Mus musculus: one gene and its partner. The protein of the gene in region 1 purifies or fractionates together with the protein of each later gene. This does not show direct contact. Links are inferred from orthologs where the notes say so. Each region holds a gene or a part of one and is shown on either strand. Other genes may lie near its edges. The genes, in order: Cnot7 and Capzb.

The links.
Region 2: the proteins of Cnot7 (region 1) and Capzb purify together in Homo sapiens (co-immunoprecipitation; 3 studies listed by BioGRID and IntAct, with this or other methods). This does not show direct contact. The link is inferred for Mus musculus from reciprocal best matches to the Homo sapiens genes CNOT7 and CAPZB.

What each region holds. Positions count from the first base shown.
Region 1 is NC_000074.6:40,488,657-40,504,861, reverse strand, and holds the end of Cnot7 (CCR4-NOT transcription complex subunit 7), read left to right. Parts: intron 1-2,534; coding exon of another isoform or gene 2,535-2,573; exon of another isoform or gene 2,574-3,670; intron 3,671-3,948; coding exon 3,949-4,110; intron 4,111-5,422; coding exon 5,423-5,567; intron 5,568-8,946; coding exon 8,947-9,057; exon of another isoform or gene 9,058-9,166; intron 9,167-10,746; coding exon 10,747-10,875; 3' UTR 10,876-12,324; downstream 12,325-16,205. UniProt on the Homo sapiens protein: Has 3'-5' poly(A) exoribonuclease activity for synthetic poly(A) RNA substrate. Its function seems to be partially redundant with that of CNOT8.
Region 2 is NC_000070.6:139,247,184-139,263,388, forward strand, and holds part of Capzb (F-actin-capping protein subunit beta), read left to right. Parts: intron 1-10,077; coding exon 10,078-10,199; intron 10,200-14,800; coding exon 14,801-14,914; intron 14,915-16,205. UniProt on the Homo sapiens protein: F-actin-capping proteins bind in a Ca(2+)-independent manner to the fast growing ends of actin filaments (barbed end) thereby blocking the exchange of subunits at these ends.

The DNA of each region.
Region 1 (16,205 bases):
GAAGGCATGACTTGTAATACCTAGATCAGTATTAGGTAACAAACATTTAGGAAAAAATAAATACTCTCTATGTAAAAATGTGTCTTTAGACATATTGGTATTTTGGTCACTGTAACTGTTGTACTTACTGTGGGCTTGAAAGCAAGCATGGTTATTAATGTGTGTTTTCAAGCTAAGACTTTGCTTTCTTTGCCCAGTGCTTGATAAACTCTGTAACAGAAAAAGAACATCACAGCCATAGTTAACGAGCACACTGGCTGCTATTGTGTCCTCTTCAGAGCTAAACTTGAGTGTTATGGAGTGAGCAAGCTGGATTATCCTCACCACTGACATAGCCTAAAACTGTTGGCTTGATGGACAGCATTTTCTAGTAGTGTTTTCTCACCTTCTCATTAGCTCCTCAGGTTAAAGGTGAGGTAAACACACTTGCGAGGTGTGGATTTACCCACAGGATTACTGTTAACATTGAAGTATATACATTTCAGACATAAAGAAAGAAAACTTGACTGTAACAGTGTTACACTGTGACTTTATAAAGCATATTTGCTGACATTTTTTTTCTTTTTTACAAAAAGCATGCTTTTGAAACTGCATTAGTATTGAAAAGTTGAAACAACTTTTACTAGTTTCTCAACACTTCCTCCTAGTTGTTGTGTAACTATTATATTTTTGGTATATATTAAGGATTTCTCATTTATATGTGATATTGGTGATATTGTTATTCAGAGTTCTGAGTAATCCGTTATTTGACCTTTTTCTGGTTTTTTTTTGTGGGGTTTTGTTTTGGTTTTTTTTGTTGTTTGTTTGTTTTTTGTTTTATTTTGCATAGCCCTGGTTGTCTTGAACTTGCTTTGTAGACCAGGGTGGTCTCGAGCTCAGAGATCTGCCTGTCTGCCACCTAAGTGGACCTTTTTCTTAATGTACTGTGGTATATCTAACTATGCTGTGGTTGGATGATTAGGGTCTATGCTTTAGGTTCTTTAGTGAGCCCTTCACATGGCTCCTGACTCATGATGGCTCAACTTACACTTTTTGACTATATACAGAAGTAGTATGCATTCAGTGGATGAGACATTAAATTTTGAATTTTGTGCCATTTCTTTGGCAGCACTGTATACTCTTGTACAGTGTTGGGTAGCAGTAGGAAGCACTGTCTCCCAGCTGGCTGCTCTTCTCTATGATAGCTTGCATTACACTCTGCTGCCAAGCATTTAGGTGATGTAGTAATATTTTCACCTTTTGTTACTGTCGTCCTAACTTCTAATGAGGTTATCAGGTTATAACCTTGATCATGGAGTATCTGTATATTCTTCGGAAACTTTGTGGTTAATTTATTGGAAGTTGAAATCTAAATCCAAAGATGAAAACCTTGTTAAATTTTATGTATTCATTCCCAGAAGGAATATTTCAGTAAGTTTTAACTGGGCACATATGTGCATATTAAGAAACAAGCAGGCCGGCTTGCTACTGTTTTCTGAAAGTTATAGTCTTTTGCAAATTGGAAACTTCTGCCCAGTTTCATCCATCAAAAGAATAAATAATTAGTCTATTTTAAATAGCTTGCTATTTGGACTTGTGAGAATACTTCCTATTTTTAGTTGTCTTCTTGTCATTCATGGACTTTGCAATTTTAGATATATTTTTGTGTTATTACTTTATTTTGAGCTGTTATTTGAGTTTATTAAGGTCTATTGTTATTAATTTAATTTATTAAAAACTAAAGATGGCTAACCATTAGTATAAAAGTAAGTGACATTTGAAGGAGGTGCTATATCGACCCTATGGTGGGCATCTGGGAGGTGATCAAGAAGTAGTTTAATGTTGATAAGAACACGTTTAGAAGTGTGAGTTCTTATAATAGGGTTTATTCATATTATAAAAATAGGAAATTTGGTATTTTTACATGATTGAGTTAGTAGATAGTGCATCTTTAGGATATTAACTAAGATAGCCGTATGTACCTATGCCTTTTGGAAAATCTTCGGAGATTTTTACATGTTTTTTACTCATGTTTAGTCATAACTATATACTTTGCTAACTTAAATCTGAATAATAGATGTAACAGGCAGTAGCCAACACCAGATGAAATTCTTACAGTTTGACTAAACAATGTTATAGTTACTTTTTAATGTTAGTTTTAGTATTTTTCCCTTTATTGCTAGAATGTTTGAGAGTAGAGAAAGCAGAATGTAGAACATCTAAAGTTGGTACCATCAGAAAAGGATTGTACAGTGATTTGGAAATGAGACTCCTAATTGCTATCAAATTTACCTTACTGTAGGAAGTTTCCTTCATCCTCTCTAGAGATTGACCTCACCATTAAGGTTATGAGTTGGGTATTATAAAGTATGAGTTCTGTACCAAACTTTACTATAAAAGACTCATTCTACAAAGCTTAGACTGAGTTATATAAATTTTGCAGAAGAGAGAGAAAGAAAGGGAGTGTTCATGTGTCTTTGTTTGCCAACCTTACTTTATTATAAAATACCGAGGTCCTCCTCCAGGTCTCTCACCTGGGAATTGTGATTCAATAGGTCTGGGACTGCATTGGGACCTGGGAATCCATATTTTTGGTAAGTTCCCCTGGTGATTATTATCATTGGGCAAGTTTGGGAAATAATGACTTAAATGCACCAAGACTCACTATCCTACCTTATTGATGTATTATTTAATTTGGTAATGGTTACATAATGTTGACTATAATAAAATAACTTGAGCATGTGGCTAAGAGCAACATGAGCCTGGAGAACAGTCTACTGTATTCTTGATTGATTAATCGTGTTTAAACGAGCTTCAGTGTGAGCCCAAGGACCTCATTTAAGGGACATATTTTTAGTATAACAAACAATTTAACCGAGGGTAGTGGGAGGGCCTGCATTGAATTTATTCTGATATCTTTCCTACAGGATGTTTCAAGAGAAAGCATGATGTTTGAAAGTGATGACTGTGGCTCCTCTCTGTTTTTAGATGCTTCAATTCTTAATTTTGTCATTTAGTTCCTGACAGTCTGGGAACTAAACTGACCTTTGAAATTGATTTCCAGAGAATAAGCTACAAAAATACATCTGATGAAAATCAAACATTAATTTTGGTTTTGTTAGTTTTATTGAAGTCTTTTATAGAAATTTTCTTTTGCTGATGGTAGAAACCAATGTTAAGGTTTTTTAAAAAGTAAATAAAAATAAGTGATAAATCCACAAGATACTTTTTCATGAATCTTCAACTTTTTAATATAATACTTAATGTATTTGTGCTTAGAAACTATAGGTGGCTTTTTGTGTGGTTTAAGTAAAAGTTTGAAGAGCTGGTTTATAGTGTGCTTCCTGGCTTGGTTTAAGGTAGTCGTCTAGGATTGTATTTGCCTCTAATGTAGGTATGTGATTGCTGAAGAAGAAATGATGTCATAACTGAGTCTTTATCTGAACAGTTCACTGCTTAACTAGAGCCGCTGAAAGGCTCCTCATTTGTGAGAGGAGGCATCTCCTTTTTCTTTAAGATGGAATGTAGTTTAACTCAGCCACAAGAGATGTTGGCCACTTGGTGTCTCCTTCCTGGTTCTGCTGAGAGCATGAGAGGTGTGCATAACCCCTCATGGCTGTGGTTACAGCTCCATCTGGCAGCACTAAAATAGCTGCAGAGACTGAAAAGAACATGTCTGTGGTAGCCTCTGGTGAGTAAAAGACCCTTTTTAAGCCCAGTGAAATGTATGTAATGTTTAGAAGCTGATGAAATTGAGTTGGTGTTAAGGGTGAACTCACCATTGGACTTTTTGAATGATTATTTACTTTTTGGATACCTCATATTTTATTTTTCTTGATCATTGTGAAGCATTTGAATGGTTGGACATAAACCAATCCTCTGTCTTGTTTCTGCATTGTAGTTGTAGGCATAAGTGGAGAACAACTGTTTAATGGGAATTTTGAACTTTCGTTTTCTTTCTCCTGCCAGGGAGGACATGTATGCTCAGGACTCTATAGAGCTACTAACAACATCTGGTATCCAGTTTAAAAAACACGAGGAGGAAGGAATTGAGACCCAATATTTTGCAGAACTTCTTATGACTTCAGGAGTGGTTCTTTGTGAAGGGGTCAAATGGCTATCATTTCACAGGTAAAAAATAAATAAATAAATAAATAAATAAATAAATAAATAAATAAATAAATAAATAAATAAATAAATAAATAAATAAATAAGGGGTTGCAGTGTGCTTCTGTCCCATCTGCCTTTTACGTCTGTCTGGGTTACTGTGTCAGCAGTGTTGTGCTTAGCTCTAGAAGGAATTAGCTGCCGTGAGTCTGTCTAGTACCTCACTGAGAACAGTGCTGTGGATCTTTTAACAAAACCAAAACCACACATACCTGCTCTTGGGTGCGTGTACCAAAGATCTTCTATGGTAAAACTTCTCCTCCTTCAAATTACAAGTAAAATAATAAACATCAAATAAAAGTTGATTTTGTTTGTCCTCCAAAAGATAGGCTCAGTAAGGTCATTTGCCAAATAATGAGTTTAAATTATAGGTAAGAAAAAGATACTTTATAGCTATAATTCCTCTCCTTTAACCCAGTGGAGGAAACTCATGAACCTAAAGGTCAGCACCAGCAAACGCTTGTTGTACGGAGATGTCTGGGGTTGGGCTTCAGGGAAGGCTGGCACAGGCCCTTCACAGGAGGACTTCAGGAGGGGAAGGAGTTAGGCCGCTGTGGGAAGACTCGTGATAAAGGATGTGTGACGTCAGTTTGAGGGAGCAGGGGGTTGTATTGTATAAAAAACCAGTTCTTACTTTTCCTTAGTTCCTGTCACATTTAACTTTTCCATTGACAACTGTCTCGGAGAGTTATACTGACATAGAAACATTTGAGGAAATGTACATCTTAATTAAGTCACTTAGTGGAAATGAAATACTCTGTTAGGGATTTATTCTTCGAAATTGGAAAGTGTCACCATCTCATGTAAATGGTGACAAGGTTTTACATGATTTTTGCCTTTGGCATGTTAAGTCTTGCTGGTTTATTACATTTTCACATACCTTCCCATTCACTGTGGCAGTGACCTTACTGAACCTATCTTTTGGGGTGTGCACTTGCATGTCTGTGTGGTTGACATAAAACACTCAGCTTTTACTTGGGTATTGGGGGTCAAAAATACTCATGTTTGAACATCATCTCTCCAGCTTACATATCAGAAAAATGTTATTTTAGTGACTGTAGAGTTAAATTTATACTATCATGTGTTCAAGATGCTGAGTGATCAGTTTCTGCACTGTAGTTATGGACGTGTTTCTTTTCATTGTTCCTGTGTGTACGTTATTGTTAATCCTTTTGCCTATAGTATGACTTGTTTAACTTTCTATCTGAAAAACTAATTTCTTTCATTGTATGGTATTAATGTATTTTTTTCTGAATTATTTTAATCTTTTTATTAGTGGTTATGACTTTGGCTATTTAATCAAAATTCTGACCAACTCTAACTTGCCTGAGGAAGAACTTGATTTCTTTGAGATCCTTCGGTTATTTTTTCCTGTCATTTATGATGTGAAGTACCTCATGAAGAGCTGCAAAAATCTCAAAGTAAGGCTTCAGATGACTTTATCCGGAACTAGCACATTAGTTAGCCCAATGAGTCTCAACCTGGAAGTTGAACAACCCTTTCACAGGGATCAATTATGACCATTGGAAAACACAAATATTTATATTATGATTCATAACAGAAAAATCATAGTTAAGAAGCGATAAAAATAGTTTTATGGTTGGGGTTCACCACAACAAAGCTGTATTAAAGGATGCAGCATTAGGAAGGTTGAGAAGCACAATTTAGACCAAGTAATTTCTATAATATCTTAGGCCTGAATGTTTTAAACCATGTTTTAGAAGTTATGTTAAGCCGGGCAGTGGTGGTGCATGCCTTTAATCCCAGCACTTAGGAGGCAGAGGCAGTCAGATTTCTGAGTTCAAGGCTGGCCCGGTCTACAGAATAAGTTCCAGGACAGCCAGGGCTACACAGAAAAACCCTGTCTCCAAAAAAAAGAAAAAAGTTAGTTAAATTATCTGATCCTATTCTTAATAAACAATCTCTCTTCAAAGCTGCGGTATTTATCTTAACAGGATAAGGTTTGTTTTGGTTTTGTGTTTTCCTTGGTTGGATTTTTGTCTTGTTGTAGATACTTTAAATTGTATTTTATGTATGTGGGTATTTTACTTGCATGTGTATATGCACTAAATGTGTGCCTGCTGTCTGAGGAGGTTAGAAGAGGGCATCCCATCTCCTAGATTATAGTTATGGATGGTTGTGAACCACCATGCTGTGTTGGGGCTGAGCCTGTGTCCTCTGCAAAAACAGCAAGTGCTCTTACCTGCTGAGCTATCTTTCCAACCAAGTTATCTTACCTGCTGAGCCATTTTTCCAGCCCAGAATAATGTTGATATATTAATTGCATTAAATATATTTAAGAGGGCTGGTGAGATGGCTCAGTGGGTAAGAGCACCCGACTGCTCTTCCGAAGGTCCAGAGTTCAAATCCCAGCAACCACATGGTGGCTCACAACCATCCGTAATAAGATCTGACTCCCTCTTCTGGTGTGTCTGAAGACAGCTACAGTGTACTTACATATAATAATAAAATAAATCTTTTAAAAATATATATATATTTAAGATACACACACTCTCACTCACTTCTGTGGAAGTTTACAGCAAGAGGTAGCAGAGGCTAAAAGAGAGAGTGTCAGACCCTCTGGAACTGGAGTTATGGGTACTTGTGAGCCACCTAGTGGGTGCTAGAAACTGAAATTTGGTCCTCCACAACAGCTGTGCTCTTAGCTGCTGAGCCAACTCTTTAGTCCCCAGAATAAATTTTTAACAAAAGCCAAGCTAAGGGCCATGTTTTTGTTATTGATGCCAGATTGAGGGTCATCAACTGAAATGAAAGTGTGAGGTGTACACTGACAGAGCCCTGTATTACAGAGGTTCTCATACTCCCAGCACACAGAACTATCACAAGCATACAGATTGGGGTTGGCCAGCAGGGGGCAGAGACACTCAGTAGTGTTCTAAGGTGGTTTTCCTTCAGATTATCCTGACTAGAGACTCTCCTTTATTCTTTCTTGTTAAAGTATGATGTTGTTATTTTCGTAGCTAAAACTGGTTAGGCATAAATACTATATAGTAAATGTGTAGGTTCTATATAGACAGTAGCTTATTCTGATAATACTGAACATATGTAGCCATGTATTTTTAACCTTTGGACATTAATTTTATCAAAACAAACATTTCCTGATTAAAGAAAAGTACTACTTTGGCTCAAGAGCAAATTCCCCTGAGTTGGCACAGATCCCTGGCAATACACTGAGTGGGTTTTTAGTTGCTGGATTTTGGTGTGATATGTTAAGTTATAACTAAGGAAACAAGTGTATGTGTAGCCAATATTGTCCCTGTCTTCAGTAAAACCAAGGTTGGCCAAGTTTTCCCTATCTAGGTTTTAGAAAAATACAGACAGAGCTTTGCTTTAGGAAACAGTAAGGAATTTAATAGTTTTTCTTAAGCAAGAATAGAGGAATTATAATGTGGAAGCTTTAGTTTCAACAATTTACTGAGAATTGTAGGACAGAAGTAATTTGTCACTGTTGTAGGTGTGGTGCCAAATAACTAGGAGAACTTCTTGAAAGATTATCTCATGACTGTCAGTTGAAAGTCACAGAATCCTGTGTCATTTGAGGTTTCCTCATAAGTGAACTCCAGCAGAGTATTCTGACTACTTACACTGATGAGTGGCATGCTGAGAATCTAAGGCTCCCACCTGGCTGGCTCTGGAAGTTTTTGGTTTTGTTTTGTTTTGTTTTGTTTTGGTTATTTATTTATTTATTTTTGGTTTTTCAAGACAGGGTTTCTTTTATTTATTTATTTATTTTTGGTTTTTCAAGACAGGGTTTCTCTGTATAGCCCTGGCTGTCCTGGAACTTACTTTGTAGACCAGGCTGGCCTCGAACTCAGAAATCCGCCTGCCTCTGCCTCCTGAGTGCTGGGATTAAAGGCGTGCGCCACCATGCCCGGCTGTATTTTGTTTTTTTAATTGACAGCTTGGTATAATGATAGTTTTCAGAAACAGAGTCCTAATTTTTTATTCTTCTATATATTCAGAAATATCTAAAAATATCAAATATTTTATTGAGTGCTATGTGAGCTGCTCACATTAAAAGTGTATGTTAGCAATAAGGTGCTACCAGTCATTCATATCTAGTCTGCTGCTGTGTTCTAAGCAGCTGCCAAGGATGCATGGTGCACACAATGTTAGAAACCGTTGCTGGCAGGAGTCCTGTCAGGCTAGGATGTGACTACAGGATAGTAAAGGCTTTGTATTTTAAGGAGGAAGTTGATTGGTAGTCTGTTCTGTGTCTGTCTATTTCTTCTCTTTTCCTTTGACACTCGTTATTTTTCTCAGTCATAGCTATAGTAATATAAGCAGATCAGAGCAACCATTCTAAAAGAGTTGTATATTTGTAAAATTCTCTTTTTAGTTGAGAAAATGGAAATTATGTGGTAGATTGACAATGACAGTGGTCTGAACACTCATGTTGTCTTTGTTTTACTAAGTTTTAAATACTTTAGGGGATGCAGATATTTTTAATGACACTGAGTATGGTTTATTACTGTTACCCTGAATATGATCTACTTCCTTCATATCTCTGGAAAGTTGTTAAGGCATGCTTAACTTGCCTTAAGATGTATAATTAAAATAAAATTTTCCTATTAGAATTTCATATTCTGGTAAAAAAAGGCTTTTATAGTCCACAGATAAATTACAGATTCATATTTTATCAATCCCCTTGCCATCTTTACAAGGTTCATCTTTACATATTAAAAATGTATTCATATTTTTGTCAGTGTCTAAATCTGTAATTGTGAATTCCAGTCCCAAAGTCCTCTCTATTTGACAAGCAACTTTTCTTCCTTCTAGGGTGGATTACAGGAAGTTGCTGAGCAGTTAGAGCTGGAGCGCATAGGCCCTCAGCACCAGGCAGGATCTGACTCACTGCTTACAGGAATGGCCTTTTTCAAAATGAGAGAAGTATGAAGACATCAGTGCCTTTTTCTTGGTTGTTAGGTAGAGAACATTAAAGGTCTGATGACAAAAGTTTTGGGCATTAAGAACCTACTAAGTGAAGATATAAATAGAGGTACTATATAAGTTACATCCACCACATTTGAATGAAAATGTTAAATAAGTCCTCCTGAAATGTAACGCAAAAGGAAATAGAATAAACTCTTTATAGAATAAAAAAACATTATTTATTCTACTGAAATATGTTGTTTATAGAATAAAAAATTAGGTGATTGTAGAGATCATGTACATATGAACATGCTGTTTTTTAAGCTAAAAAGGTAATAGTGAGGGAACTCAACTTTCTTAGACCCCATACGAGCCAGGGAGTCGTACCTTCTTTTTCTAGAAACTGGTGGCGAAAATAGATTTGCTCATGTCATTCTTCATTGCTTTAAAGGTTTTATAAAGTAGAACTTAACAGTTTTTACTAAGTCTTAAAGGCTTTTTGAATATATAGGTATTAATTAAATCTGAAGTCTGACATATAGTTGAGTCAAAACTATCAGGAATTCAAGTATAAAATTGTTAGGAGTAGAAGGATGATATGTAGTGGAACTGAGTGTTTTTAGGATAGATAACTAGGTGATAGATGTCGTGGTTACTTCATTGCTGATAATAATAAACAAATTTTAATTGTATACCCACACACACACACACACACACACACATATATACACACACACACACACACACATGTATTCTATTTTTGGTACACTGTGTGTGTGTGTCCTATTTTAGTTTGGTATAAATGGTACAAATATATATATAAAATGTGCCTACAGAAACACATTTTTATGAAATAGTTGCTGTGGAATTATTTTGAGTATATTCTCTTGGTAAAAACATGCTATTGACAGAACGCATTTGACTTGTTTTGCCAGGTAGTATTGATTCAGAAGTTATTTGAATTGTCCACTCACGTAACTAACTTAGTTTCAGTATAGGACCACCTTTTGGATTTTTTTTTTTTTTTTAGTTTTTTTGAGACAGGGTTTCTCTGTTTAGTCTTGGCTGTCCTGGAACTCAGTTTGTAGACCAGGCTGGCCTCGAACTCAGAAATCCACCTGCCTCTGCCTCCTGAGTGCTGGGATTAAAGGCGTGCACCACCACTGCCTAGCTGGATTTTTATTTTAAAATGTCTTATGGCTAGTCAGTGGTGGAATTCTGGCACCAGTTTGTTATCCTTATTTTCCTTTTTATTGTCTTCTTCAAGGACAGTGATGTAGTGAGAGTGTTAAGGTTTACTGTCTATACCATGCTTAGGATTTTGTTAATTTTAGTCAGTTCACCCTTGCACCTAGACTTAAGACAACCTAAGATGGTATAATGTCTCCTCCCCTTCTCGACATTACTTCTCATATTCTGTGAAGTTTGTTATGTTAAAGAAATGAAAATGTCTGCCATGTTTTTTATGCTCATAAGTTCTTATTAAAATGAGGTAAATGTTAACGAAAAATATTTTTGCTTTTTAGAACGTGTCCTTTAGGCCTGTAGTTAAGGGCATCAGTCAGTCTTATTTATTAAATATGCAGCATAGCTTCTCAAAGGAACATCACAGAAAGAGTTAGTAGCAATTACAGTGTTGAGATGTAAACTACAGGTTGTATCATTTGCTTAAGATGATTTTTTTTTCTTTCAAAATTTTCTTTTTAGATGTTCTTTGAAGATCACATTGATGATGCCAAATACTGTGGTCACTTATATGGCCTTGGTTCTGGCTCATCCTATGTACAGAACGGCACAGGGAATGCATATGAAGAGGAAGCCAGCAAGCAGTCATGACAGGAAATAGTCTTCTTATTTTTATTTTATACGAGTTACACACATGCTTGTATATAGGTTTTATCATCCCTTAAATAATAGGCAATACCCCCCCCCTTTTGTAGACCTTCTCTGCTTTCAGTAATAAGTATGGCCTTTCTTAGCTATGATCTTAATAAATTAAAGTACATTCAGGTTAAATCTGGCCTTAATTTAATACACTTCTTATCAAGCTTGTGTGACAAAGCTACATTACTGAATAATTTGATAAACTTTGCCTACTTGAGCTTGGTTTTGTTTTTCCCTTTTCCTAAATTAACTAGCATTGAGTGTAATTTATTTCCCTCTTCCATGCCTCTCCTTCTATTCTGCAGTACTTATAGGTATTTAAGATTGTGGACCATCAAGTTTGCACTTTAGAGAGTGATTTCAATCCTCTATTTTATCAGAAATTGTGATTTTTCTTGCTCTTAGCTAGAAAAATAACCATCTACCACCTTTTTACAGTATTTGCTTGTTTTTGACATTCAGAGTACAGCACGTGCATTGTGCAAATTGTTCAACAGGAATAACAGAAAAAGACAAGGAACTACTGAAGAGCCTAGTAACTACTGTTTCTGTGTGTAGTGTTTAGCCTTCCAAGCACATCTCATGTCTGTTGGTTTCTAATTGGCATGCATAGGCTGCTATGTGACTGAAGAATTTCAAACCAGCTTTACACCCTTCAGGAAGAAGCCCTGTGATTGGCTATCTCCTCTCTGCCAGAAGGCTGGCCATTAAGATGTTGGAGCTCCAGTTTTATGACAGCACCGCCTCCCTTGATCGGCTTCCTTTTACTCCATCACTTTTACCCTTACTGTTTTATTTTATAAACATATTTATGATGTTCTTGATTTGTTAACTACACAAATCAATTTCATTAAAGTCCAAAGATAACAAGTCTTAAGGTACATTTTATATCAATAAAAATACAAAATAAATGTGATTTCATAAATGCTACAAAAATAAATAATGGAGAGATTTGGTGCAAAACAACAAAATGCAAAAAATATATATAAATACACACATATATAGCTAATAAAATTACCTGAGGAGTGTAATGCTTGTTTATTTTTTTGTGTATATCTTTGCAATCTATTTTATATATATTGACAAGAGACTGTGAAATATTTAGCCATGCAGAATATGTGACCAGACCAGAGCATGTGTTGGAAGATTTTGGTGAACATTAACTCTACCCTGAAGTGATGGACTACAAGTTGTAATGTGTGTTATCTACACTTCAATCGATATTAGCAAGTCTCCAACTGTTAGCAACATAGTTCGTTTCCCTTGTACATTCTGTAAACATGATATGAAAATGCTGTACCTGGGCGGTCCTTTTTAAACTAAACATTATTTGCAAAACAGAGGGTATTATTTGTTTTTAAAGCTTTTGTAAATAAAGGCTTCAAAAATGTTTTCCTATATGGTTGTGACTGATGGCTTTGGTTTTGGGGCTCTTATTTAGAAGTGTTGAATACTTGAGCCATTTTCTTTGGGTAACAGGACTTCACTAGGTGGTGTGTGTGTTCTCAAAAGATTGGTTTAGTTTTTATTAGTGTTCAAAGTTGCAGTAAGGCCAGCTGATCCATAAATCAGTTCTCCAGCCCAGAGCCTGGGCCATAAAGCCTGGCACTCTGACCCCTTTGTATCAACTGTATTCCTTTCCTTGCCCTTTGTTAATTACCTGACTGAAAGAAATTAGAAGTCTCTGGGTGTAGAAGCTCACATCCGTAATCCTGCTGTTGTGAGTGACTGTCCTGAGTCAATTTCCACTGTCTTGGTGTGTTCAGCTGCACTCCCTTGCAAAAGGATTTTTCCATGCTGGTCTTTATCTGATTACATCCCGTTTAGGCAGGATGGAGAAGGCCAAAATAGCCTCACTTGAGTATCCAGACACTATACTGTTGCGCAGCTTTTCCTTAGTTGTACACGTCCTGGGAGAGGCTAGAGGTTAGAGACCTGGAAGATTAGGGGAAAGGAGTATATGCAGATAATGAGAAGCCCTCCTCCCTGTTTGGTAAAGACTTTCTAATTACAACTGTTGAAAGGAGTATCCATACCATTGCTGGTAACCCTCACATTATGCTCTGTAAGGAAACTCCACAAACTCAGTGTTTCCTCAGAGTGAAGGTGGGCCATGGTTTGTCCTTGGAACCCTAGGAAGAGGACTAATTTTATCTCCCCAGGAACACCTAGCATTGGGGAGATCCAAGGAGGATCTTGAGTTTGATAAGAGTAGAAAACCCTGGCTTCAATCCCCTTTAACCTCCAGAAAGGATAGAAGGGAATCTCTGTCTTTTGCTTTTTTAAGACTTACAAACTAAGTATACTTAGCACAACCTTACTGTGACTTATTTTGAAAATCCAAGATGAAGCAGTGTTCTATGGTTTCTTTTTCACCTTCCTCTCAGAAACTGGAACTGCTTGTTCCGCATCTGTTGCTGAGTTTCCTGATTTGTATCAATTTGGCTTTCTTCTCTAGAAGTCACTTTTGCTCAGGACTGTTAAAACCTTACTAAAATCTCAGCTTTGAATACATTTGATCCAGTCATCTGGAATCACCAGTCTTTACAGAAGAAAGGTTGAACTGGTCTATAAGGCAATCTGCTGTACTTTTGTGTCTTGCAAACTGAGAATTTAAAAACCATTTTTTAAATGGTTAGACTGTGTGCAGAACATGTCCTAACATGTAAATTATATGAAATTCCAATTTCAGTATCCATAAGTGAAGGGGTTATCGCAGAGAAAGGACCTTCAGTTGGGGAAATGCCTCCATGAGATCCAGCTGTGGGGTATTTTCTCAATTAGTGATCAAGGGGAAAGGCCCCTTGTGGGTGGGACCATCTCTGGGCTGGGAGTCTTGGGTTCTATAAGAGAGCAGGCTGAGCAAGCCAGGGGAAGCAAATCAGTAAAGAACATCTCTCCATGGCCTCTGCATCAGCTCCTGCTTCCTGACCTGCTTGAGTTCCAGTCCTGACTTCCTTGGTGATGAACAACAGTATGGAAGTGTAAGATGAATAAACCCTTTCCTCCCCAACTTGCTTCTTGGTCATGATGTTTGTGCAGGAACAGAAACCCTAAGACACTTTTATTCCTTTCTTTTTTTGAAGACAGGGTCTCAAAAAAAAAAAAAAAAAAGTCAGGCTGTGGTGGCTCACGCCTTTAATCCCAACACATGGGAGGCAGAGGCAGGTGTATCTCTGAGTTGGATGCTAGCCTGGTCTACAGAGTGAAATCCAGAAGAGCCAAGTCTACACAGAAAATCTGTCTGAAGGAAAAACAACAACCCAAAAGCCCAAAGTTTGAGTATGTAATTATGGCTGTCCTCAAACTCACTATGTACTCAAAGAGATCCCCCCTCCCTCCTATCTTCTGAGTTCAGGGATGAAAGATATGCATGACCACACTGGGATTTTTGTTGTAATTTTTAAATTTAGGGTTAAGAGCAATTTTTCTGAATGAGAACTTGTCCTCAGTCAACTACTGGGGCAGTGACTTTGGCTATCAGCTTTTATTATAAGTTTGGCAGAGTTCCTTAACAAGTTTGCCTTAAAATTACAAAGCAAAACAATACCTTTACTGCGTTAGTTTTCAGCAAAGACGAATCCTTTAAATCAGAAGCCTTCCAAGTTGTTCCGTACTCTAGGTGCTATTAAAGTTTAAATGAGGGCTGGCAGAAATGGCTCAGTGAGTAAAACTATTAGTCTGATAACTCGAGTTTAACTTCTGGAGTCCATATAAAGAGCTGGATCCAAAGTGTGCATTTGCAATCCCAGCACTGAACCTGCAGAAGAGCTCAAGGATAGCCTTGGAGTGAGTATGGAGCAGCAGTAGCAGCAGAAACAAAAGAGACCCTGCTTCAAGATGAAAGGTAAGAACAGCTCTTTAAAGAGACCCTCTTACTTTCACAGATGGCATGGTGACTGCGTGTGCACACCACACGCACACACATATGCATGTGCCTAAAAAAATTAAAAGATATTAAAGGTCTGAGAGATGGTTCAGTGGTTAAGAGCACTGGCTGTTCTTGAATAGGACCCAGGTTCTACTCCCAGCCCCCACACAGTTGTTCCCAAACGTGTGTAACTGTCCCAGGGCATCTGATAACCTCTTCTGATCTCCACAGGGACCAGGGACACATGGGCAAACAGACATACACATAGCTAAAACCTTCATACAATAAAAATAATTTTAAAAACATCCAGGTGGTGGTGGTGGCAAATGCCTTTAATCCCAGCATTTAGGAGGCAGAGGCAAGTGGACCTCTGTGAATTCAAACCCTGTCTTGAAAACCTAGATAGATAGATAGATAGATAGAATTAAGTCATACAAATTAAATGTATATTCTTTATAAATTCTCATTGGAAATGTTTTTCTTCAGTTCTTCACTTTATTTTGATGCAAAGTGCAATAAAAATTGTATTTCAAAATCCATTTAATTTCAATGGAGTTTTTATAGTTCTTATTTTTTTTTTAGAGCTGTTATCAAATTTGTTCTTTGACTGGGACTGGAGAGAGACGGCTCATTGGTTGAGCACACTTGTTGCTCTTACAGAAGACCTGGCTTTATTTCTGAGCATCTCCATGGTGGTTCACTGTCATCTGCAACTCCAGTTCTCGGGGGTTGAACAGAAGAGCATTCTTCTAATGTCTGAAGACGGCAGGCATACATGTGGTGAACATAGACAAACAGGAGAAAATACTTAAAAATGTAAAAGAAATAAATGTTTCTAAAATGTCCTTTGACAATTTAGTAACTTACTGCCTTCTGATCATTCTCATCTCCTGCCCTTTCTCCTCTCTTGTTCACATCCTGCTCCTTCCTCCCAGCCAGTCTTTTTTGCTCATTTATGTTGTTTTGTTTTGTGGCCAGTGTAATCAGGGCTGTTTGTGTAACCATGGGTCAGGAACTATCCATGAGCCTGATAGGATGCCCAGTGAGTAAAGCCAAAGTCATTGACTGCCCATCTTGCTAGAATCCATCAGTCGCAGTAGTTCTGTAGGGAGCCCCTATGATTAGCTGTAGACACACCCAGTCTTGGGTAAGTCCAAGGTGCCCTCTTCCCTTCACAGAGGGCACACATGGTTTTCACAAGCATGTGCGCGCGCACACACACATGAGCACGCACACACCCCTAAAAATTAAAAGATATTAAAGGCTCTTTCTAGCTGCTGTGAAGTCATGATTGGAATGGCTGTATCATGTCCAAAAGATACAGTATTTTGCAGCTCTTTGCCCTATATTCCAGCTTACGTTCTTCCCAACTCCTTTTCTGTGATATTCACTGAGTTTTGGAAGTGATCTA
Region 2 (16,205 bases), on another chromosome or scaffold:
GAGGAGGGTTGTGTGGCAAATGTATTCTAAGCTGAGGCCCTCCTGCCTTCCTAGAGCAGAGACTCTCTGACCTTCCTTCCCACTTGTACAACTTAGAGTAGTCATTGGTAATTAATTGTATGCTGTGACTTCAAGTCTCTAGTTCCCAAGGAAGCTCCTGCTGGCTCCTGAGACCCCCATAGGAGATAATGGTGTTCATTCTTCCAACTCCTGAGTGTGTAAAGTAAATCCTGCCTATGTGTCAACCATAGGTGAACACAGCACCCCACCCCACCCCCCAGATTCCCAGACTCTGGAGGCAGGAGCTGTACACACTTTGCAAGATGTGCAATCAGAGATGAATGGGATTCAGTGTCTCCTGGAACTGAGTTGTGTGACTGGGGACATCACCCTGCAGCCAGTGAGTTGGTCTGAGTTAGCTGGGTCTTAGTACCCCACCCCCACCCCCCAATATCTAGGTGAGTCCAAGATCCTGTCTCATGCCCAGGATCTGTTTCTTCAGGTGTCCCTGTTCTTGGGGGGACTCTGCCAAGTTCTCATGGGTATAAAGGGCTTCATGCATTGCCAATTACAGATGGTTCTGACTGGTCTAAAGAGCAAGGAGGTGACAGTACTTGTTTCATAGGCTTCTGTGGCATGAGAATGGAGATAGAACAGGGCCCGGGAGCAGCAAGCCAGTGCCTTTCCCTTCCTTGTTCAGCCTGCTTGGGAAGGAGAACTGTGGGCCCCTGCTCTGAAGTGGCCAGCTCTCAGCTCCCTGGCTGGTCAGTGGGTGAGTTCTCACTTATACCCTCTAATAACCTTTCTTCCTCCAGCCCAGGGTGGGCCATGCTCAGCCCTTGGTGCCAAGGGTTACCTCTAGTAGTACTTCTTGAGGCTGCAGGGCATATGACAGAAAGAACCCTGGGGCTGAATCCAGGAGAGAGAGAGAGGCCAGCATGCTGGAAGCGCTCTAGACATGGTGCAGACTGCCCAGCTGTTACTCAGAACACTACCCGGCCAGCCTGTTGGGTGTGAGTGTTGTCACACCTCCCTGGAGCAGTTCCGTGGACATTTACGGTCACACTCCGCCCTATGATGCTTGAGTCTTTGGAGAGTCCCCCGAGTCAGTTTCCTTGTTGCTGGGCCCCTCTCTCCACAGCCAGAGTACGCTCTTGGAGATTCACCTTTGACCCTGGGCTTGCCTTAGTCCCCCAGCCCCATGACTCGTCGGTTTGGATGCTCTGACATGGTGGCCCTTTTCCTGGGTTACATTCTCGTGCTAGCTCTGTTCTCTATGTCTGTCTATCTCCATACTTCAGTCCCAGCCACAGTGCGTGCCCACGCTGCTGCCTGTTGGGTAGCACATGCTGAGGTCAGGGGTTACATGGAGCTGAGGGGACAAGATGAGGGAATGGCTTGGACTCTCGGGGTCTAGTGTCCTTCACTTCACTACGTGTCTACAAGGCAACGCTAACAGGCCTGATCTTGTGAGCATCCCCTGTGGGTAACCACACTTGCTGGGATTGCGAGTAGAGGGCAGAGTTGTAGAATAGGAGCCCGGATCACTGCACACTGGGTGCCTCTGAGTGACTGGCTTCATCCACCTTGATGGGTGGGGGCACGGAAAGCTGCATGGAGTGGGAGGAGGAGACATTGAGGATGAGCAGCGGTGGGGTGGGGTGGCTGGACAGAGACTGGGTGGGAGCAGATGCACGTCTGTGCTATGCTGTGCTGTGCTGGTCATTAGCAGGCAGTGGGCACACGTTCATTTTCATATTGATGATCCACAGTTAGTCACAGCATGGAAGCATAGCCTTGAGAGCCTACTGCTGTGGGGCCTGCTGGCCTGGGAAGGTCATGGTAGGTCAGGAGCAGCCATCTTGCACGTACCATTTTTCTGTGCAGTTTTATATCCTCTGCCTGTGCATGGGGATGTATGACTGTCAGAACCCCAGCTCCCAGTTTTCTCATACCTTCTTTCTCTCAGAAACAGCAGGAGAGTGAGTGTTCCCTCTCAGACTTGAAGGTGCCCGTGGAGGAAGAGCACAGTCCGGCTCCTCGGCCAGGTGGTCCTCTGTGGCCTTTAAGGGATAGCGTGGCAGGGGCCATGTGTCATTCTCAGGCGTGTATCTAAGAGAACTTGAAGTCGGTGGCTCCCATTGGTCCCCATGCTTTCCACTCCAGAGGCTCGCCAGAGTTCCACAGGCCTTGCAAATCTTGCCCAATTAAAGGGCTCCTAACTGTGCAGGGCTCTTTTGCCTTTCTGTGTTAGTGTTTGAGATTCCATCGCTCCTAAATGCTTGCCGCTCAGCAAGTCTCCAAAGTCCTTCCTTTTTGCTTGGGGCCACTTCCCCGTCGGCCTCCTGTTGGTTTTTATTCTGCTGCGTGTAAGAAATGTAAGTTTCTGGAATTGTAGAAAGGCTCTGGTTTTTTAGTTTTGCTTTTGTCTTTTTTTAATTTGCGCTTGCTGTGACATTGGAAGGTGGCAGGGGCGCTCTGAGAACCTTTGCTGTTTCCGGTGATGCTTGAGAAACCATTCGAGAGCGGATCGAGGGCTAGACTTTGCTTTGTCTGTGCTCCAGGAAGGAACCAGAGTGCTCAGCCCCGCTTTGGCTTCAATTCGGGACATAGGTGGCTTGGGGATCAGGTAAAGCTGAGGAGGAGGTGGCGCTGTGATGGCTGATGGACAGGACTCCTTTGAATGGAGACCCTGGCTTGGGTCTTGCCCTCACAAGATTTTCCTGTTCGAGACCTGCCTTTGGTACTGTTGGAAAGCAAAGAATGTACTTGGGAGCACCTAGCCAGGAGGGTCTGATGAATGTTCCCTTAACTTAGATTCCACACTTTGATTGATAAGGAAAAAAACAAGAACATAAAAGTGAGTTAGAGAGCTGGGGCCTCCTCCAAAGACCAGAGGCAGAAAGTCTTTCCTCTCCAAGCTGGCAGACTCTGTCCTGGGCAAGGAGCGCCTAGATTGATTCATAAACAGGCTTGGTTTGGGAAACAGGTAAAAATATTTGGTAAGAGTATAACATGCTCGGTCTCCTTCCCCTGAATGTTTGAACTGCATGCTGCAAGGAATGTGGGCTGGGCAGCTGGGGGAGGCCGTTGTTAGAGGAATGTGGAGCTGGGATGCTTGAAGGAGCCAGGGCTTGCCCATCTCCCACTTCCCTTTAAAGTCCATGTGGGGCTGAAGAGACAGACGGCTCAGTTGTTAGGAGTACTAGTTGCTCTTTCAGAGGACCTGGGTTCGTCTCAGGACTCACATGGTAGTTCACAACTGCCTGTAACTCCCGTTCCAGGGAACCTGATGCCTTCTTCTGGCCTCTGCGGGCACTGTACATATATGGCACACAGACACTTATGAAGACAAAACACCCATACATATTAAGAAGTGTTTGCCAGGAGAGGTGCCACATGTTTTTAACAGCACCTGGGAGGCAGCCTAGTCACAGAGTTCCAAGACAGCCAAGGCTATATAGTGAGCATGTGTCAAAGGAAGGTCAGAGTACTTACCTGGTTAGTTGGTTAGTGTGCATAAAGTCTTGGGTTGGGTGTTATGCTGCATGCCCATAATCAGAATTCAGGACAAAGAAGCACGAGGTGCACATGTTCGGAGTTCTCCTTGGCTACATAGGAAGTTTGAGGCGGACCTGGGCTACATGAGGCCCTGTTTGCTTTGTAGTGATTAGGTGCTAGCTGCTTAGCACTGGCGTTGATGAACGGGTCTGATTTGAACTTGGAACTGGGAAAAGCTGGTGTGACTGTGACACTCCCTCCTGGCCCTCGGCATGTGCAGTTTGTACTTGGTGAGGGGCAGGGCCTCCACAGTCTGTAACTCACAGAAACTGCTTTATACAGAGTGCGTGCAGTGAGCTTTTGAGAACCCTGTCCTGGGTGACTGTAGAGATAAAGTTATCTAATCCTTGGCCATGAAATGGTCAAGGTCTAAAACTGAGCCAGAGCTTCCCGATTGCCTGTGCTGGTGGAGCCCGAAGATAGACAAAAGGGTGTGGGGCCACACCCCCTCTCCCCGAGCCAGAATCACTAAGGTGCACCATGAGTGTAACTTACCAGCCTTGGAAAACGTAAGCCCGTCCTGATCCATTCATTTCTGTTATAAGGAGCCGGATCTCCATGGCTTGTCCAGAGCTCTGCATCAGTGCTGGGCATGTCGTCTCCATTTGCTCTGGGCCCTCAGTCACCAGAGTACTAGCCCACTATGGCAGCCATCTAGGAGCAAGACTATCTTGCCAGCTGTCTCAAAGCCAGGTTCGTGGCTCACTTAGCATTTTGAAGTTGGGAAGGGTACGCTTGACAGGTACATATAATGGTATTAGTAAGGACCCTACAGGGCAGGGTATTCAAATGAGGTTTATAGTATGTCTTTCTGCTTAGGAATCTGATGTTCTGTGAAGGCCTGAGGTGGGGCCTGGAGGAGCTGGGACCACACCCTGTTATGTGTGCTGGGATTGGGCACAGAGAGCAGGCCCTGCTCAGTGGGTAGTGGGTAAACACAGACACTGCTGTTCAGTCCCCTTCCTCCCCTGTCCTCCCAGCTCAGCTGGGTTGGGACAGCTTGCTTTCTTGGCCTTCTGGGTCTTGCTGTGTGCCTTGCAGGGCTGCTAGCTGCAGAGCTGTGTGGTGCCCCCTCCTGTTTTCCTTACCATTCCTGTCATTCTTGTGCTGGCCCCCTTGCCCCAGCCTCACCTAGTGTCTTCAGGTTTCTTTCCTGCTCTGGCAGTCTGGAGATGTCCTGCTAGTGTGCGTCTTCCTGTCTCTAGTCTCTTCCATGGTTCCAAACCAGTTCCTAGGTTAGGAGCCTGACAGAGGCAGAGCAGAGTTGGGACCTGTGTCTGATTTCTCGTTGTGTGCTGTGTTCCAGCGCTGGCATGTGCACCTCTAGGACACTCTTGCTGCTTTCATTGTTTCAGTTCTTAAAAGCATAACTTCAGGGCCTTGGGAGAACAGAAGAATCGGGTTGTAAGCAGAGCCCCCTGCTGGCCATCGAGGTCTCTGGCACCCAACCCTTTCGTCTGGAGTGGGGCAAGCCAGGACGCTCCCCAGCCACGGGCTCCCCATCACTCATGTGCATGTGCACCCGAGTGGACAGGGTCTGCTTTCGATCCTTATCTCTCCGGTGGCGGGCTCCCAGCCAGCAGGCAGATCAAAAGATGGAATGTGTTCATTTGGCCATTTTTTTAAAAAAAATCAAGGTCCAAAGGTTCACTTCTGAAAGGCGAGGGCGCCGGGAATTAGATTATCCGGAGAGCTGAACCACTCCAGCTTTTGTGCCTTTTTTTTTTTTTTAAGGGTTCATCTCAAGTTTCTTTTTCTGGTTGAACAATTTTTTTCAACATTAATAACTAATGGAGAAGAGGAAGAGGCAAAGTGGAACCATATGACAGCGCACACGGCCTTGCCTGTGGCCGGAAGCTTCTGATTTGTGTCCGCTTTCATGCGATCAGCTGTTGGGTTAGATAGTAGGAAAACACGCCATTTGGGCAAGAGCAGTGCTGCAATTTACCTCTCAACCGAGCTGAACTGTGTCCCTGTCCCTTCCTTAGACGCTGGCTTGTGTGACTTGGGTCAGCTTGTTTCTCAGGCCCCGTGTGCCTCTTCTTTAAAGTAGAGGTCTCTGGGCCACCAGGATGGCTCAGTGCATAAAAGCGTTGCCACCGAGACTGAAGACCTGAGTTTGATTCCCAGGTTCCACGTAGTGGAAGGAGAGAACCAACTCCCACAAGTGGTGTCTGACCTCAGTGTCTGCACTATGGCACGGGCACTTTCTTAAAAAATGAATGAGTGAGTGGGTGGGTGGGTGAGTGAGTGCGTGAGTGAATGAATATAGTCTTAAAGAAAAAAATAGTCTCTGTGAAAACCTGTCCTGGGGATAAAGGAGTGATGGCAATAGATTGGAACCCATGGTGACAGAACTCGTCTTTTCTATGGTTTATCGTCACTGTTGTCTGGTTTTTTCCATGTTGTCTCTGTGGGTCTTGAACTCAGTGGAGTCAAATGATCCTTCTGAGTCAGCCTCCTGGGTAGTTTGGACTACAGACATGTGCCTGTCCTGCCTCCCATTAAAGCTGCCTTTGCTGTGCTTGGACTGAACCCAAACCCAGGTGAGAATGCCCAGGGCGGAGGCAGGGCCTGTCCCAACAGACGTATAGCGTTACTATTCCAAGTCACTGGAAATTAAGTTGAACCCTCAGCAGCCCGGTTTGGCCAGCACCATTGCTGTTAGATGGACGTTCCACACAAAAGCTGATGGGGGTAGGTCACGTAGGCAGTGTGGAGCGCAGCCAAACACAGTCTATGCTGGCTCTGCTCCTCACAGTGCTGGAGCACGGAGTAGACTCAGGTGTTTGGACCTGGTCATTCAGCTCATTGATCACTGCAGATTCTGACACCCCGAGAGTGTGGCACAGCCAGGGGCAGGAAGAGCTGAGGCGCAGATTTAGATAACTGACTGGCTCACAGAGCCATTGTTTTCCAGCATGCTCTCAGGCAAAAGACCTCAATGCCTGCTCCCATGGGACCCAAGCATAGATTGAGACCCTCAGCAGCTGATGGGACATGGTGCTTGACTGGGGTCCCCTCATGGCTCCCTGGGCACAGTCTCCCGAGTCTCTGCTGGTATTAGGACAGCCAGTTCAGGAGCAATCAGGGTCCTCTGCTGTCCATTGGTGGAACTCCACGATGCCTGGAGAGAAGTGGGAGTCAGGGACAGGTCTGAAGGAGACTCGGGGAATATGGCAGAGTGTTAGATTGAACAACTAAAAACAGCTATCCTGTGTAACATTAGAGGGGTGGTCAAACTGGAACCGTCTTCCTTGTGACTCAAAATTCAGTTTAACTCAGCAGCCTATAGTTTCTGCACCAACTCTCAATGGGGAGGGTTTTTATACAAACTAGCATGTAGAGGAGATGGCTAGTAGTCCAGTGTTGAGAAGGTGGATAGAGGACAGGATGAGGGGCAGGACTGACACATGGTACACGAATGTACACGCATGTGCATGCGCACACCCCATGTGCCTAGGGCAGCTGCTCCCACACTGTATAGCCACACTGTATAGTCTGTACTTGTTTCCAGTGACAGCACAGTGTCATTCTAGACTAGGTTGTCTTTTATCAGAAGAGGGATTGATGCAAACAGAACTTGAAAATATGGCCCAACTTAAGAACTTGTCTTTTAGGGACCTGAGCAGGCAGAGCCAACTAGCTGTCTGTGACCCATCCTAGGTACTTGTGTGCTCGGGCACATCCTATGTCCTGCACGATCTCCATAGTTTTCCACTGTGTGCTGCCATGGTAAGGGCTCAGTTGAGTGTATGTTCTTCTGTGGTTGTTTGGAGGCGTGGGCTTGCAGAAGTCTGGGATTAGCTCTTTAGGGGTGGCTAGTCTCTGGCATAGTTTGCCTGGTTCTGTCCTTCTGTCATTACTGTGACTCTTCAGGCTGGGCTTGGGGCTTTGGTTTGGTAGTGGTGTTATTTGTTCGTTTTGCTGGTAACTTGAGACACTGAGAATTGAATTGAGGACCTCATGTGCAGTAGGCAAGCACTCTACCACTGAACTATCTTCCCGGATGTCTGTTTTCTCATAACACAAGGTCTTAAGTTACTCAAGTAGGCTTGAAACTCACTGTACAACCCAGCCAGTCTTTGAACTTAGGATCCTCCTGCTTCAGCCTCCCAAATATTTAGGACTGTGCCACCAGGCCTGGTCATACTGATGTGGAATTCATGGTCTTAAATCCTTCTTCTCCCTCAGCCTCCTAAACAGCCAGGATTACAAACGTACATTCCTGTGCCAGCTAGGAATGGAGCCTCTTTCCTTGCAGCTCGCATCGTCTTGCCAGCCTGGCTGCTAAAGGAGATCTGTCTTCCCAAGCATCCTTCAGCATCCGCTGTCTGAAGCAGCAAGGTGTATTGAGATACAGAGAAGGGCAGCGGGGCCAGAGAAATGGCTCAGCGTTAAGAGCACTGACTGCTCTTCTGAAGGTCCTGAGTTCAAATTCCAGCAACCACATGGTGGCTCACAACCATCTGTAATGAGATCTGATGCCCTCTTCTGGGGTCTCTGAAGACAGCGACAGTGTATTTACATATAACAAATAAATAAATCTTTTAAGAAAAAAAAGAAGAAGAAGAGGGCAGCATTGCTACCCAGACAGTGAGGACAGACAAAGAGGACTAGGAGGCTCAAGACAGGACTTGACAATCTGTAAGGAGACCCCAGCAGCAGCCCAGTAGCACAGGTGGGTTCTTAGTGGCAGGCCACAGCACGAAGGGCAGCATGAAGGTGCCAGGGTCATTTCACCGCGCCCATAAAATTCAGCCAGTGCCTCATGCCTGGCTGCCTCATGGAAGCCGTGAAACTTTGCTTCTACAACTAGGGTGTCCCAGGTGGAGGGCTCTAGCTATAACTAAGCTGCAGTGGGGGCTGGGAGGAGCTTTGTACCGTTACTGCTCGCTGTCCTTAGGGACCAGAGTGACAGGGTGAAGGAGTTTGGGAGTCACCTAGCCTAGGGTTGGATTTCTCTATTCACTGCTGGCTGTTGGTGTGACCCTTGGACAGCTTAATGATTCTGGGTCTTAACTCTGTAATCTGTAAATTAAGGTAACAGCTTCCCATTTTGTGCCCTGGTAGGAGCACTTAGGTAAAAAGCATGCTTTGTGATACCTGGTTCAACATCCAAACAGGCACTTAGAGGTGATAGAGAGAGATGTCACCAAAGCTAACTTTGAAAATGACCTTGCCTGTTGGTTGGGTGAATGCACAGGTGCGCGTGAACCATGTTCTGAAAACAAGCATGTCGTGCTTTGGCTGGAGGTATATGCTTCTCCTTGGGGAGCGGTGTATGTATAAGAGTTGGACCATCCAATGGAGCAAGAGGCACTTTGTATGGTAGGCTGTGATGTGCCCTAAGACAGTAGCATGCAGCATCAGAACCTGGTTGTCCTAGTAGTTCTGGCTTTTGGGAGGGACACAGGACCTGCGCTGCATGGCCCCCTCTGTTAGCAGCCCCTTGTCTGGTAAAAGATGAAGCAGGGGTCCCTGTAAACCCAGGCCCTGAGATGAGAAAGTCAGGATGTGGAAACAGTGTAGAAGTGACTCGAACAGAAAGGCATCCACTTATGCAAGGGCTGCCATCCCTTCCTGGAATGTTTTCATGGAGACTGATGTTTGTGTTGGGAGGAGGCAGCCCTGGCCTGCTTCCTCAAAGCCACACCCGGGTTTGGGAATTGTGACTTGTTCTAGCCCACCTGGGCCACAAGCTGTTTTCCCGGCACCTTCTGCTATACAGACCAGGTAAAGCTGCAGGTGAGCTGATTACTCTGCTGTAGAAAGCATATGGACATCTACCTCTGTAGTATATACAGCCGGCTATGGACAGCCTGGATCCACCTCTGTAGTATATACAGCCGGCTATGGACAGCCTGGATCCACCTCTGTAGTATATACATCCGGCTATGGACAGCCTGGATCCACTTCTGTAGTATATATAGCCACCTATGGACAGCCTGGATCCACCTCTGTAGTATATACAACCACCTATGGACAGCCTGGATCCACCTCTATAGTATATACAACCACCTATGGACAGCCTGGATCCACCTCTGTAGTATATACAGCCACCTATGGACAACCTGGTATCGCTTAGCCAGAGGCCTGGAAAGAGCTGGAAACTCCACCCAGCATGGGAGTCTGCGGAGTTCTCCAGAGCCCCGTTCTTCTTTGAGTTCTTCACATTCCTGTATATTTGAAGTGTTTGCCTTCTTCTCAGAGCCTGAGCTGGTATTTTGTCCACCAGAGACCAATACCCAGCACACACCCCCTCATACTCAAAGACCACCCTGGTGGCCAGGTAATTAAAGCCACACCCGGGTTTGGAAAGAAGGCTGCCTCGGAAATCACGTCCCACAACAACGCACGACCAGGTTCCTTTACAGAGAGCCGTGGTTGGGCATATGTGGAGAGGAGCAGACAGATTCCAAATTTTGGCAGAGCACTACAAGCCAGATGTTAACCTGGAGCTGAATTGGAGTTGTTACTTTAATGACATTTCTCCCTGTCCTCTCTTTCTGCCAGGTCCCCAGTCTGTGTGAAGATCTCCTGTCATCTGTTGACCAGCCCCTGAAAATTGCCAGAGACAAGGTGGTGGGCAAGGATTACCTTTTGTGTGACTACAACAGAGACGGGGACTCCTATAGGTGAGCTCTCACACACAGGCTCACCTCATAGCATGGGGCACGTGTAGCCCACCCACACGTCTGTTTGTCCTTCTCTCTCCTCTTCTCAGCTGTCCATCTGATCCACTAACAGGCTGTGTAGGCGCCTCCCTTGAGCTTCGGAGAGAGGGCCTTGGTGCCTTACAGTCCAATGGAAGAGCCGTGTTGTTTCAGGGCCAACTGCCCCGATAGGGTGGCATGTCTGTCCTTCCTTCCTTCCCTTCTCCCTTCCTTTGCTATTACCATGTGGCCAACTTGACATTGGTCCCTGCACGGGAAAACACAGGCAGTAGCTGATGAGCAGCTGTACTGTGATGCACACAGCCAGTTCAGAGCTGGCTGGTGGCCTTAGGGGAGCTGAGAAGAATCTATGCTCCGGGGAGATGGTCCTGGCTTAGATGTTTTTAATGAACTGTTTTGAGATGGTCTCAAAATATATCCCTTGCTGGCCTGGAACTCCCTATGTAGACCAGGCTGACCTCAAACTCACAGAAGTCCTCGTGCCTGTCTCCTGAGTGCTGGGATTAGAGACATGGACCAACATACTTGGGATCATCGCTCTTCAAACTTCCAAGTGTGAGAATCCCAGACCGTTCCAGGCTTTCCCTGGGGATGAGCACACTGGGTCTGGGCTTATTAGAGGCCACACTACCAGTGTTCTTTTTGAGAGGGTTTTGGAGACACAGGGACAGTGACCAGGAAGAGCAGTGTGGGCTGTAAACCAGCCCTGCTCCTCCTAGGGACATGGAGACTTTGACAGTCCCTTGTCATCTCTGGTCTACAAAATAGAAACAGTAGTGATCGTTCAGCCAGCAAAGCCTGCACAAGCATCCTGAGTGCTACCTGTGTGGCAGGCACTGCTCCCAGCTCTGTTCCTGGAGTCTGTTTTGTGAGGAATTCGAACGGCTAGTAACGTTAGGCACGTGCATCAGTGATGGAGATTACAAACATATTGCTAAAGAGAACAGAGCAAGAGGGGAGAGGCAGGGTGGGTAGCCAGTGGGGCCTTCTAGATCACAACTGTGCTCTAGAATGAGTTGTTGAGTCTGCACAGGTTAGGAGCTTCCTGGGTCCCCGGCCCTGGGTGGAGGCAAGCTCGCTCGCAGGTATCCAGGAGGCTGTGAAGGTAAAAGAAAGGTCAGAAGCACAGCGGGGCCAGCACAATGGGAGCCTTGAAGCTCCACCTCAAGTATGGGGTGGCACAGAGCTTGTCCTTGGTTTGAAACGAAGAGAAAGAAAACTAGTGGTGGTGATGGCCCCTCCTACTCCATAGGTTAGTTAGGGAATGACACACCTGAGCATGGGACTGAAATTAGTGGAGAGACTGAGTACTGATGGGTAGAGCTTGGAAGCAGAGTGACAGCTGGGAGGTGTGGGCACTGTCTGTGGAAAGAAGAATCTGGAGTGGGAATGTGAAATGCCTTCTGGGTGGGTGTGGAAGTGCCGTGCAGGTGTGACATGGTAGATCTGAGAGCTGGGCATCTGGGTAGCACTGCAGGGCCCCACTGTGAAGCTGAGGCCCCAGCTCAGGACAGAACTGGTCCCCAGCACATGTACCAGGGCAACCCTTGAGGAGACTTCCTTGAAGGTGATAAGCATGGAGCAGGCCAGGGAGCACATGAGCACAGTGAAAGCCCTCACAGTCGTGCGTGGGCTCGGTTCAGGCTTCCTGGGAAAGATACTGCTGAGACCAGTCTCAGTGGCCGCTGGTTCTGCTTTTTTTATTTTTAAACCTGAAAGCTGAAAGTGAGAAAACTGTGTGCAGGAAGGCAGGGCAGGGCAGGGCAGGGCAGGGCACAGCTTGTGCACTCCTCCCTCAAGGGCTTCAGCCCTTCCAGAGCACCCTGCAGGCCCCACCCCTACTCCCCAGACACCAGAGGGCTCTGGGGATGGGAGCCTCACAGGGGAGCAGCGGCAGTAAGGACAAAGCTTGACTCCCCTCTCCCCTTCTGGATCTGAAACTTCAAGGTCCTCTGATTTTCTCCACACATTTCCATCCTGTGTTTGATCGTTCGCTTAAATAAGATCCTTATGGTGAGGCCGCTGCCAGCAGCGCTGCTTGAACCCTGTTAGCTGAAACAAGAAGCCTTCTGGGGAAATGAAAGGCCTGACTTTTGAAATCCAAGCATTCCTGTCCATCTGTCTTTTCTCAAATGGCCTCCATTTAAGCTTTTAAATGTGTTCTGAGTGCCCCTTCCACTAAGAATATTCTGGGTAATGTTATGATTTTTCCCCTAGCTACAATTACCCTGGCTCCAGGCCTAACGTCTTGAAATGCCGTTGTAGTCTGTGAGGCAAGAGGAATGTGTAACACACTTACAGACTTCTTAGACTTCAGGCCCCGATCTGCATGGTGATGGGTGGTTGCGTCCTAGCACATTGCTTTGTTTTTAAACCGCATTTTGTGTGTGTCTGTCTGTCTATGTGTCTGCCGCTTATAGAGGTTAGGTCCTGAAGGAATCAGTCCTTCCTTCCACCGTGTAGGCCCTGGAGATTGAGCTCAGGTTCTCGGGCCTGGCAGCAGGCACCTTTGCCTGGGTCTCCCATGCCATGTGAAAGAGATGGCGTGGAGAGGGGGCTTGCCCTGCTTACAAGTATGCCAGAAGGTTCTCAGAAGATGCAGGGATGGGGAGGTGGGGTCCAGGTCACAGTTTGGGGTTCTTGCCCACTGTCCCACAGTGAAAGATCCAAACCTCACTGACTTGTGAGTCGTGGTGACCACCTGCACCTGTCAGCTGGCCTGGGCGATCTGAGGCAAGAAGCCTCTGAGTTTCTCTCCTTCCTTCCTGTCCTCAGCCGCCTCCTCCCTTTGTCCATCATTTGTGTTTTGGAGATAGGGTCTAGTTACATAGTTCTGGCTGAACTTGACTCCTGTACCTGCCACACAACGGCAAGGACTACAAGCACACGCTGCCTCCCAAGCTCCACTTTACTCCCTGTCTGCAAGACCCTGCAAAGTCTGTCAGAGTCCCATGAAGGCAGACATCCCACGGGCCCTCTCTGTCAAAGACTCAAGCTAGTGCTGGTCTTGGGGTGTTGTCCCCCCAACTCTGTTGGGGAGTGGTGGGCGGGCTTGAACTTGGAACGGAGGTTTCTTGTTTTGTTTGGGAATTGAGTCTAGGCACCTGAACATGGACAGGTTTCTAAAGGCCCTGCTTAGGCTAGAGAGATGGCTCAGTGGTTAAGAGCACTGACTGCTCTTCCAGAGGTCCTGAGTTCAAATCCCAGCAACCACATAGTGGCTCACAACCATCTCTAATGTGCTCCAATGTCCTCTTCTGGTGTATCTGAAGACAGTGACAGTGTACTCTTATACATAAAATAAATAATTTATTTTTTAAAAGGCCCTGCTCTCTGTGGATAGGTGAATTGCATCCTGGAGCCCTCAAGGGAGTATACACAACAGCTCGGCCCCCCTCTAACACGCCCTGGACCGTCCCTGAGAACACTGTACCTCTAGAGCCACCCCTAAAACACTTCCACCTTTCATGTGACTCACGGCTAGACTGGGTACCAGAAAGATATATCTGTGTGGACAAAGTGGGGGACCAAGGGACAGCAAGCATGTTTTTCCTCTCTTAATGTTAATCCCAGATTGAAAAGGTGTGAGGCTTAATGATTGCTGGGGAAGGCAGTATTCGGCCCTGTGGTAGCAACGCAAGGGTGTAAGTAAGGCTTCTCTTCAGTTGATCACATCTCCCCTCCCGCCTCCGTAGACTCCCTCACTTGTTGGAAATTTCACTTGATGTGTGTGGGTGTGTTGCCTGCATGTGAGTGCCTCTGGAGACCAGAAGAGGATGGTGGGTCCATGGAACTGGAGCTCCAGGTTGGGAGCTGCCAAGTGGGTGCTGGAATCAATCCTGGGTCCTCTGGAAGGACAGCAGTGCTCTCAGCGACTGAGCGAGCTCTCCAGCCTCCCCTAACCTCACTTGTTAGGTCTTTCTGAAGATGCAGCCTGAGACCTCCACCCTTGGGAACAAACAAGGAAACCTTGTAAAAGACCTCTCGTTGCCCTCGGTGACTGAAAGTTCTCCTGGGACGGCGAAAAGCGTTTTTAAAATGCTGCTGGTCTTGGGGTTTGCTTGACTTACCAGGCTTCGTGTGTGCTTAGCCCAGTGTACTGGGAAGCAGCTGTGTTCCCTAAGGAGCTAGGCACTCCATTTCCAGAGTGTCTAGGCTTACTGCCTGCTTCTGTAACTTATAGTCGTCTTCTTAATACTTATTGTTTGAGGGCTGAGGAGCCTCCAGCAAATCAGGGAGGTGAGGGGTACCAGCTGACCACTTTGGTGAGCACAGAGAAATCAGGGAAACGCTGGGACTTGTGGCCAAGGCTCCTGCCCTTCTGTTGGTTCCTGGAAATAGTACATAGTAGCGAATGGTAGCCTTGTTTTCCACCGGAGGAAGTGAGGCTTGGAGCTAAGGTGTTTGCTGTATTAGTCAGTCTGCCGGCTTCTGAACCTTTGCTTTGTAAGACTCTCCAAAAAGCCTCCTGGTGACTTGGCCCCTGAACCTCAGGCAGCTGAGCTGGGGCTAACTGTCTCTGGGATGATTCATAGAACCGTCTCCTCCTTCCTTCTTCCCAGGTCACCGTGGAGTAACAAGTATGACCCTCCTTTGGAAGATGGGGCCATGCCATCTGCTCGGCTCAGAAAGCTGGAGGTAGAGGCCAACAATGCCTTCGACCAATACCGAGACCTGTGAGTGACCCTCTGCACACTAGCTCTAGGGGCTTTGCTGGGGAGAACCTTGTATGAGAGGATGTCTGGGCTGAGCACTCTCCCCTCGCTCTGCTGCCTGGTCACCTAGCTTGCTAAAAGTTGGAGCTCCCTGATGCAGACATGACCATGTTACTCTGTTACCATTGACAGTTGTGGCAGGTAAGTGGGGAGAGTGCCTACTGTGTGTACAACACAGGGCAGGTATTTTGCACTCTACTGTCTCATGTCCTTGCTCTTTGAGTAACAGTAAGGTGCTTTGGATGCCACAGTGACACAGTCAGAATGTAGCCCTCACATACAGAGAGTAAGGAGTTTGTCCAGGGCAGGGGCAGAGCTAAGACTCAAACACAGCTGATGAATCACAAATGCATGGTGAAAGTACAGTCTGTCTGTGAAGCTCAGGCTGACTGAATTTGTGATCGGTGTGAGAACACACCACAGCTCTTAGCTATTACAGCTGTGTTTGGACTGGAGCTCAGGGCCCATGCAGACTGTCCAGTGGCCAGGGCAGAGTGAGCTGAGGTCTCACGCAGTCTTTTTACCCTTCTCTCCTTCAGTTGCATGTGTGTGATGTAGGCATGAGTGTGTGTTCGTGTGTGCATGCACATGTGAATGTGGATGCATGAGCATGTGGAGGAGGTCAGAGGTCAGTGCCAAGCATCCTCTGCTGCTGATCTACACCTTGCTGAAGCAGGCTCCTCTGTTCGGCAGGCCTCACTGGTTAGCAAGCTCCAAGAGTCCTTCTTATCCCATACCCACCCGCCCAATTGCCAGCATGCCCAGCTCTTTACATGTGTATGCAGGGATCGAAACTCCGGTCCCCATGCTTGCATCTCCGTGAACATAATCCAGTGTGCCTGTTTCAGCTCCTTTGTGATCTTAATTTTTGCACACCACCCTGGCCCACCAACGCCAGGCCATTCAGCTGCGCCGCCTTTGAGATCGGGCTCCAGAGAAGGCTGTGCTTAATCAATAGAATCTCATTTTCAATTAAGTTCTGTGCTAGATATATAGTAGTACAAAGTCAGTACAAATCCCCCGTCTGGGATGAGGGTTGGCACACTCCCAAGAGGTGCCAGCTAGTGACCTGATTAGGCTTGCACAGGGCAGAAGGCTGAGCTTGGTTTAGCCTTTTTGTATGTGGCCTTACGAGATGTAAAACTCATCTCTTGAGCCCTGAGATGGGATTTGATCTTGCATCTCTACTTGGTTCAATCCTGGTCTAGAGGCATGAAAATTGAAATGAGAGGAACAGCAAATTTGAACAGTG